Xenopus tropicalis: one gene and its partner. The protein of the gene in region 1 interacts with the protein of each later gene in a biochemical or structural test. Links are inferred from orthologs where the notes say so. Each region holds a gene or a part of one and is shown on either strand. Other genes may lie near its edges.

Region 1 (4,526 bases):
TCTGCTCCCCCCCAGCAGCCCTGTATGTATCCCTCTGCTCGCCCCCAGCAGCCCTGTATGTACCCCTCTGCTCCCCCCCAGCAGCCCTGTACCTATCCCTCTGCTCCCCCCCAGCAGCCCTGTACCTATCCCTCTGCTCCCCCCCAGCAGCCCTGTATGTATCCCTCTGCTCCCCCCCTGCAGCCCTGTATGTATCCCTCTGCTCCCCCCCCTGCAGCCCTGTATGTATCCCTCTGCTCTCCCCAGCAGCCCTGTACCTATCCCTCTGCTCCCCCCCAGCAGCCCTGTATGTAACCCTCTGCTCTCCCCAGCAGCCCTGTACCTATCCCTCTGCTCCCCCTCAGCAGCCCTGTATGTATCCCTCTGCTCCCCCCCCAGCAGCCCTGTACCTATCCCTCTGCTCGCCCCCATCGCAGCCCTGTACCTATCCCTATGCTCCCCCCCAGCAGCCCTGTATGTATCCCTCTGCTCCCCCCAGCAGCCCTGTACCTATCCCTCTGCTCCCCCTCAGCAGCCCTGTATGTATCCCTCTGCTCCCCCCCCAGCAGCCCTGTACCTATCCCTCTGCTCGCCACCCCATCGCAGCCCTGTACCTATCCCTCTGCTCGCCCCCCATCACAGCCCTGTACCTATCCCTCTGCTCGCCCCCCATCGCAGCCCTGTACCTATCCCTATGCTCCCCCCCAGCAGCCCTGTATGTATCCCTCTGCTCCCCCAGCAGCCCTGTACCTATCCCTCTGCTCCCCCCCCCTGCAGCCCTGTACCTATCCCTCTGCTCCCCCACAACAGCCCTGTATGTATCCCTCTCCTTCCCCCCAGCAGCCCTGTACATGTGCCTCTGCTCCCCCACAGCAGCCCTGTATGTACCCCTCTGCTCCCCCCAGCAGCCCTGTACCTATCCCTCTGCTACCCCGGCAGCCCTGTATGTATCCCTCTGCTCCCCCCCCCCCCCCAGCAGCCCTGTACCTATCCCTCTGCTCCCCCCCCTGCAGCCCTGTATGTATCCCTCTGCTCTCCCCAGCAGCCCTGTACCTATCCCTCTGCTCCCCCTCAGCAGCCCTGTATGTATCCCTCTGCTCCCCCCCAGCAGCCCTGTACCTATCTCTCTGCTCCCCCCCCTGCAGCCCTGTATGTATCCCTCTGCTCCCCCCCCAGCAGCCCTGTACCTATCCCTCTGCTCCCCCCCCTGCAGCCCTGTATGTATCCCTCTGCTCCCCCCCCCCCCAGCAGCCCTGTACCTATCCCTCTGCTCCCCCCCCTGCAGCCCTGTATGTATCCCTCTGCTCTCCCCAGCAGCCCTGTACCTATCCCTCTGCTCCCCCTCAGCAGCCCTGTATGTATCCCTCTGCTCCCCCCCCAGCAGCCCTGTACCTATCCCTCTGCTCCCCCCCCTGCAGCCCTGTATGTATCCCTCTGCTCCCCCCCTGCAGCCCTGTACCTATCCCTCTGCTCCCCCCCCTGCTGCCCTGTAGGTACTAATTCTACATTCAAATTTTCCCCCTCATCGCAGCATGTGAATTCCTAAACAGTGACACAAGCCCCTCCCCCAAATGATATCACTACAACCCACCCACCTCTAGGTCACATGGTGACCTCAGTGCATTCTGCCATGTCCCGACGTTGCTGAGGGGAAGTGGCTGATCAGCCGGAGTTGCTGCGGGACAGCGGGGCAGTGCGCTTGTGTCTGGGCGGAGGGGCCGGGCTTGCTCAATGGTTTCACATCGGACAGACAGTCACCATGTCCAGAGGCTCCTTCGAGGAGGAATTTCTGTACCGAGTCCCCTCTCAGGTCATGTACCGCTTCTTCCACATCATGGACTCCTTGGAGGAGACGGACTGGAAGAAGTTTGGTGAGTTCCGCAAATGAGAGGGAGTAACAATCTGGGTGCTACTGATGGGCGCTACTGATGGGCACCCTGAGCTGGGGGTCAGGTGGTGCAGTTGTAAGTGGGTGCCAGGGGGGATAATATGGCTCAGGAGTTATAAGCTGGTGTGGGTGCCAGTCAGTCCTGCCCATGAGTATGGGCTGTCACCGCTCTGTGCCAGTGGGTGGGTGGGGACCTCACTTGGAACAGAATGGTGCCCAGGTATGGGCTTTGGGTCAGTGCTACATGCTACAGAATGAATCTCAATTGTGTGTGGGTTGTGCTGTGAGATGTACAGGGCTGCTGGGGGAGCACAGGGTTATATACAGGGCTGCTGGGGGGAGCACAGGGTTATATACAGGGCTGCTGGGGGGAGCACAGGGTTATATACAGGGCTGCTGGGGGGAGCACAGGGTTATATACAGGGCTGCTGGGGGGAGCACAGGGTTATATACAGGGCTGCTGGGGGGAGCACAGGGTTATATACAGGGCTGCTGGGGGGAGCACAGGGTTATATACAGGGCTGCTGGGGGGAGCACAGGGTTATATACAGGGCTGCTGGGGGGAGCACAGGGTTATATACAGGGCTGCTGGGGGGAGCACAGGGTTATATACAGGGCTGCTGGGGGGAGCACAGGGTTATATACAGGGCTGCTGGGGGGAGCACAGGGTTATATACAGGGCTACTGGGGGGAGCACAGGGTTATATACAGGGCTGCTGGGGGGAGCACAGGGTTATATACAGGGCTACTGGGGGGGAGCACAGGGTTATATACAGGGCTGCCGGGGGGAGCACAGGGTTATATACAGGGCTACTGGGGGGAGCACAGCGTTATATACAGGGCTGCCGGGGGGAGCACAGCGTTATATACAGGGCTGCTGGGGGGGAGCACAGGGTTATATACAGGGCTGCCGGGGGGAGCACAGGGTTATATACAGGGCTACTGGGGGAGCACAGGGTTATATACAGGGCTGCCGGGGGGAGCACAGGGTTATATACAGGGCTGCCGGGGGGAGCACAGGGTTACTATATACAGGGCTACTGGGGGGAGCACAGGGTTATATACAGGGCTGCCGGGGGGAGCACAGGGTTACTATATACAGGGCTACTGGGGGGAGCACAGGGTTATATACAGGGCTGCCGGGGGGAGCACAGGGTTACTATATACAGGGCTACTGGGGGGAGCACAGGGTTACTATATACAGGGCTGCCGGGGGGAGCACAGGGTTATATACAGGGCTGCTGGGGGGGAGCACAGGGTTATATACAGGGCTGCTGGGGGGGAGCACAGGGTTATATACAGGGCTGCTGGGGGGGAGCACAGGGTTATATACAGGGCTGCTGGGGGGGGAGCACAGGGTTATGTACAGGGCTGCTGGGGGGGGGAGCACAGGGTTACTATATACAGGGCTGCCGGGGGGAGCACAGGGTTATATACAGGGCTGCTGGGGGGGGAGCACAGGGTTATGTACAGGGCTGCTGGGGGGGGAGCACAGGTTTACTATATACAGGGCTGCCGGGGGGAGCACAGGGTTATATACAGGGCTGCTGGGGGGGAGCACAGGGTTATATACAGGGCTGCTGGGGGGGGAGCACAGGGTTATATACAGGGCTGCTGGGGGGGGGAGCACAGGGTTACTATATACAGGGCTGCCGGGGGGAGCACAGGGTTATATACAGGGCTGCCGGGGGGAGCACAGGGTTATATACAGGGCTGCTGGGGGGGAGCACAGGCTTATATACAGGGCTGCTGGGGGGGAGCACAGGGTTATATACAAGGCTTCTTGTGGGGAGCACAGGGTTATATACAGGGCTGCTGGGGGGGAGCACAGGGTTATATACAGGGCTGCTGGGGGGAGCACAGGGTTATATACAGGGCTGCTGGGGGGAGCAGAGGGATAGGTGCAAGGCTGCTGGGGGGAGCAGAGGGGTAGGTGCAAGGCTGCTGGGGGGAGCAGAGGGATAGGTACAAGGCTGCTGGGGGGAGCAGAGGGGTAGGTACAGGGCTGCTGGGGGGAAGGAGAGGCATAGGTGCAAGGCTGCTGGGGGGAGCAGAGGGGTAGGTGCAAGGCTGCTGGGGGGAGCAGAGGGGTAGGTACAGGGCTGCTGGGGGGAGCAGAGGGATACATACAGGGCTGCTGGGGGGGGAGCAGAGGGGTAGGTACAGGGCTGCTGGGGGGAGCAGAGGGATAGGTACAAGGCTGCTGGGGGGAGCAGAGGGGTAGGTACAGGGCTGCTGGGGGGAGCAGAGGGGTAGGTACAGGGCTGCTGGGGGGAGCAGAGGGGTAGGTACAGGGCTGCTGGGGGGAGCAGAGGGGTAGGTGCAAGGCTGCTGGGGGGAGCAGAGGGGTAGGTACAGGGCTGCTGGGGGGAGCAGAGGGATACATACAGGGCTGCTGGGGGGGGAGCAGAGGGGTAGGTACAGGGCTGCTGGGGGGAGCAGAGGGATAGGTACAAGGCTGCTGGGGGGAGCAGAGGGGTAGGTACAGGGCTGCTGGGGGGAGCAGAGGGGTAGGTACAGGGCTGCTGGGGGGAGCAGAGGGATAGGTACAGGGCTGCTGGGGGGAGCAGAGGGATAGGTACAGGGCTGCTGGGGGGGGGGGGCGCAGGTTTATATACAGGTCACATCATTTGGTGTGAATATAAATAAAGAAAAATTA
Region 2 (3,818 bases), on another chromosome or scaffold:
AGAGTAACAGGTCTTTGAGAGCCAGATTTCTTGCTGATTGCCAGGTGTTCAAATACTTATGTGCAGCAGTGCAATACAAATACATTCTTTAAAAATCATACAATGTGATTTCCTGATTTTTTTTTAAATTTTTTTTTAAATGCTGTCTCTCACAGTGGGAATGCACCTAATGAATGAATTTCAGACCCATCCATGATTTCTAAGTGGGAGAACTTGCAAAATCGCAGGGTGTTCAAATACTTATGTTCCTCACTGTACATGACCTACCATTTCAAATAAACTAGACAGTTTGTTATGTCCAGACTTTCTGCTTGCGTCAAAAGGCTGTTATAAATTTACAGATGCCTACTGACAATGCTGCAGACTGATACAGTAGGATTCTAGCATCTGTAAGTGCTACCATAACAGATACCATTGCTTTTATAAATTATTCCTTTCTGTATCTCACATCCACAAGTGTTTTAAGGGACAATATACACCCCTTTTTAACATAAACTGAATGTATAGGGCTTGTGCTAAACATACTTTTTGCCTATTATTTAAATGAAAAAATGTTAAAAACTTTGGTTTCTGTTATTTCTGGCACTAAGCAAAAATATGAAGCCTTTTTCACTTTAGCACTTCCTGATCCTGAAGAACTTTAGAGGAGTTGATAAAACTAATTACCAGTTCACTGTGAAGTCCCTGATAATGAGCTGGTCAAAGACAGGAGCTTAGATAAGGAAAAAGTTTATTTGTTCAAAGATAGGGACTCTAAACAAACTGACCTATTTATAAAGAAAGGTGGGTTTGGTTCAGTGAAAATAGCAACTTTCAAATTAGTGCTTTATAATGGCACGCAAAATAGGAAAATATAGTATTTTTTAAAATTTATAGCGTTTATCCTCCTCGTGTGGGGGTGACTGAAGTCCATTTCAAGTTCTGCACCCACCATGAGGGTAGCAATTATTTTTAAGTGGTGTTTGTAGCCAGGACAAAGGTGCTGAGGAATTAAATGGCGTGAGTGCCCTTACTACTGACAGATCCCTTAGGCTTCTCTCCCTTTCTGAAAACTGTCACTGGAGGGTTCATGTTAGTAGATATTACATCTCAAGATATGCCAGTAGTCCCAGGCTACTTTATCAAGGTAATTCTGCCAATTGAAGGTAGTGATCAGGACCTGTTGATTGGGTTTAGTTATTTGTTGATGAGGTGTAATAAAAGTTGCTGTGTCGGCCTGGTTATCGAGTAGTCTTTGAGAACAGTTTTTCTGCAAGTAAATGGTTCTTTAGTTTCAGAACTTATTCTCTTGCCTTTATGGCGTCAGAGTTGTTCCTGATCTCCCTTTGAAATTGTGAATAAGGCACAACTTGATAGTGTGTGTAAGATGTGTGTAAAATAATAAATGTAAAATAATATTTCTGTCTGTCTCTCTTCAAAACAGTGTAGTTTGCAGCCTAGTTCCTGTCCTATAGATCTGTTCATATAAGAAGTCAACCCTTGAAGTATCAAAACAGGGCATGAGTGTAGCTTTTGTAAAGCAAAATGTGTTGCCCAAACTGAGAATAAATCTGAATCTTTTCATACTGGTTCATGAACAGGTTAGAACATGTTGGGGCAACATTCAAACCAATCACAGTCCCTGCTTGTTAGAGTTAGTATTTTCAATTATGAAGTAGTTGTGGTATAAAAGTGCTCTTAGAAGCTCTGTCACAAACTCAGTTGGGGGACCGTGTATGTGCAAGCAGAGCAAATCCGACTGCCTCAATTCTCTTCTCATGTGGGATAATGGTACAGAAGTTTTTCACAACTGGTTAAAAAATAATTGCCTGGAAAGTCAGGTAAATTAGCTAAAGTTCATAGCAAGCATGTGTGTCTTGAGTGTAGGATTTCATGGATAGAACCAGTTGTAGGTAGTAATGTAGAAACCATGCCACAGGTTGCCATAGTGAGTCCATAACTGAAATAACAGGGTTTCCTGAAGAAGACCTGGTAGACATACTGTATGTATTCTTGGTAAGGTGTAAATGCAGAACCAAATTATATAGATTGTAAGCTCTACGGGGCAGGGACCTCCTTCCTCTTGTGTCCTCGACTCTTAACTTATTGCTGCTGTATTTATCTGTATTTATTATTATACTTTGTATTTATCTATTATCTTATTAACACCCTGTTTGTATTAATGTATTCTACTGTACAGCGCTGCGTACATAAGTAGCGCTTTATAAATAAAGATATACAATGCAATACAATACAATACAAAACAAATTGCAGAGAAATGGCACGCACGTCTTGTAAATACAATCATGTGGAATTAGATAAAGAGGAAGAAGAATATGGTTTGGTCAATCCAGTTGGCATTCTGGTGTTCTTTAAAGAAGGAGGTTGGATCCTGTTTCAATTTAGAATATGTTGGATAATTGTGACAAAAGCTCTGTGTGGTAAAAGGATTTAGGGCTCTGGCACACGGGGAGATTAGTCGCCCGCGGCAAAACTCCCTGTTCGCGGGCAACTAATCTACCCGAGTTGCCTTCCCCTGCCATCCCATCGGCGACAATGTAAGTCGCCGGTGGGATGGCAGACGCGGCTGGGCGATTTCGGGAGATCGGCGAAAAAGACTCGCGAGTCTTTTTCGACGATTTGCGCAAAATCGCGCCGCCGCGTGTGCCATCCCGCCAGTGACTTACATGTATGCCGGTGGGATGGCAGGGGAAGGCAACTCGGGGAGATTAGTCGCCCGCGAACAGGGAGTTTTGCCGCAGGCGACTAATCTCCCCGTGTGCCAGAGCCCTTATCAAGTATAAATACAGCAACCCCTTTATCAGCCTTCATGATCAGTAGTTTGGGATCATTAATTTAAGTGCAAAGGCCTTCTCTTTCAGAGTTTGTTACATTACAAAACATAATATTGTCTGTTGGTGTTAGCTTGCTGGTTTAGGAAACACATAGATTTTAAAGGGATTCTGTCATGATTTTTATGGTGTATTTTTCATTACTAAATTATACAGTTTACATAGCAAGTAATTCACTCTACCATTTCAAATTTTATTCTTGAGCCAACAAATGTATATTTTTAGTTTATATTGGTGTGAAGGCAGCCATCTCAGTGCATTATGCCCGAGTCTGAGCTTTCAGAAGGAGCCAGCGCTACACATTACTCCATGTAACTGGAGGAATCATGAGCTGGACTTGGATTTCTTACTCTTGAGTGCTATTCTGATATCTACCACCTTTAGCAATGCTGGTGTCAGGGAGCTGCTATCTTGCTACCTTCCCATTGCTCTGCTGATCGGCTGCTGGGGAGGAAAGGAAGGGGGGGGGGTGATAAAACTCCAACTTGCAGCGCAGCAGTTAAGTTTGACTGAAGTTCATCAGAGCACAAGTCACATTGGTTGTGGCATCCTGGGAAATGTCCTCATCCACCATTAACTTCATTGTTAATAAAATGCAAATAATTATTGTTTTGTAGTATAGCAATTACCTTTTAATATCTCTGTGCACATGACTGTTTTCATGCAAATAATTGATACCATTTGCAGTTCCATATGCAATGTTACATCTCAAAACCCATGATACTGGTGGTGTATCATTCTAAAAAATAAAAACAACATAATAAAAAAGACCCCCCCACTGAATTATAGTCAATTTACAGGAATTACAGTTTGTGACCATTATGCAAATCTGGATAACCTGAATTTTTCTATTTTTATTTCAAGGACAAGAAAACTGATACATATAAAGGGCAAAATAATGCAAAAAAATTAAACGGCAATTAACCAACAGTTTATCATATTATATAAACTTTGGGTATCATAAGTGTTTAAAAAGACATGGAAAGC

The links.
Region 2: of the proteins of irak1 (region 1) and irak4, one has a biochemical effect on the other in vitro, tested with the Homo sapiens proteins (2 studies listed by BioGRID). The link is inferred for Xenopus tropicalis from reciprocal best matches to the Homo sapiens genes IRAK1 and IRAK4.

Annotation. Positions count from the first base shown.
Region 1 is NC_030684.2:32,216,542-32,221,067, reverse strand, and holds the start of irak1 (interleukin-1 receptor-associated kinase 1), read left to right. Parts: upstream 1-1,618; 5' UTR 1,619-1,738; coding exon 1,739-1,850; intron 1,851-4,526.
Region 2 is NC_030679.2:64,402,480-64,406,297, forward strand, and holds part of irak4 (interleukin-1 receptor-associated kinase 4), read right to left. Parts: intron 3,571-3,818; coding exon 3,461-3,570; intron 1-3,460.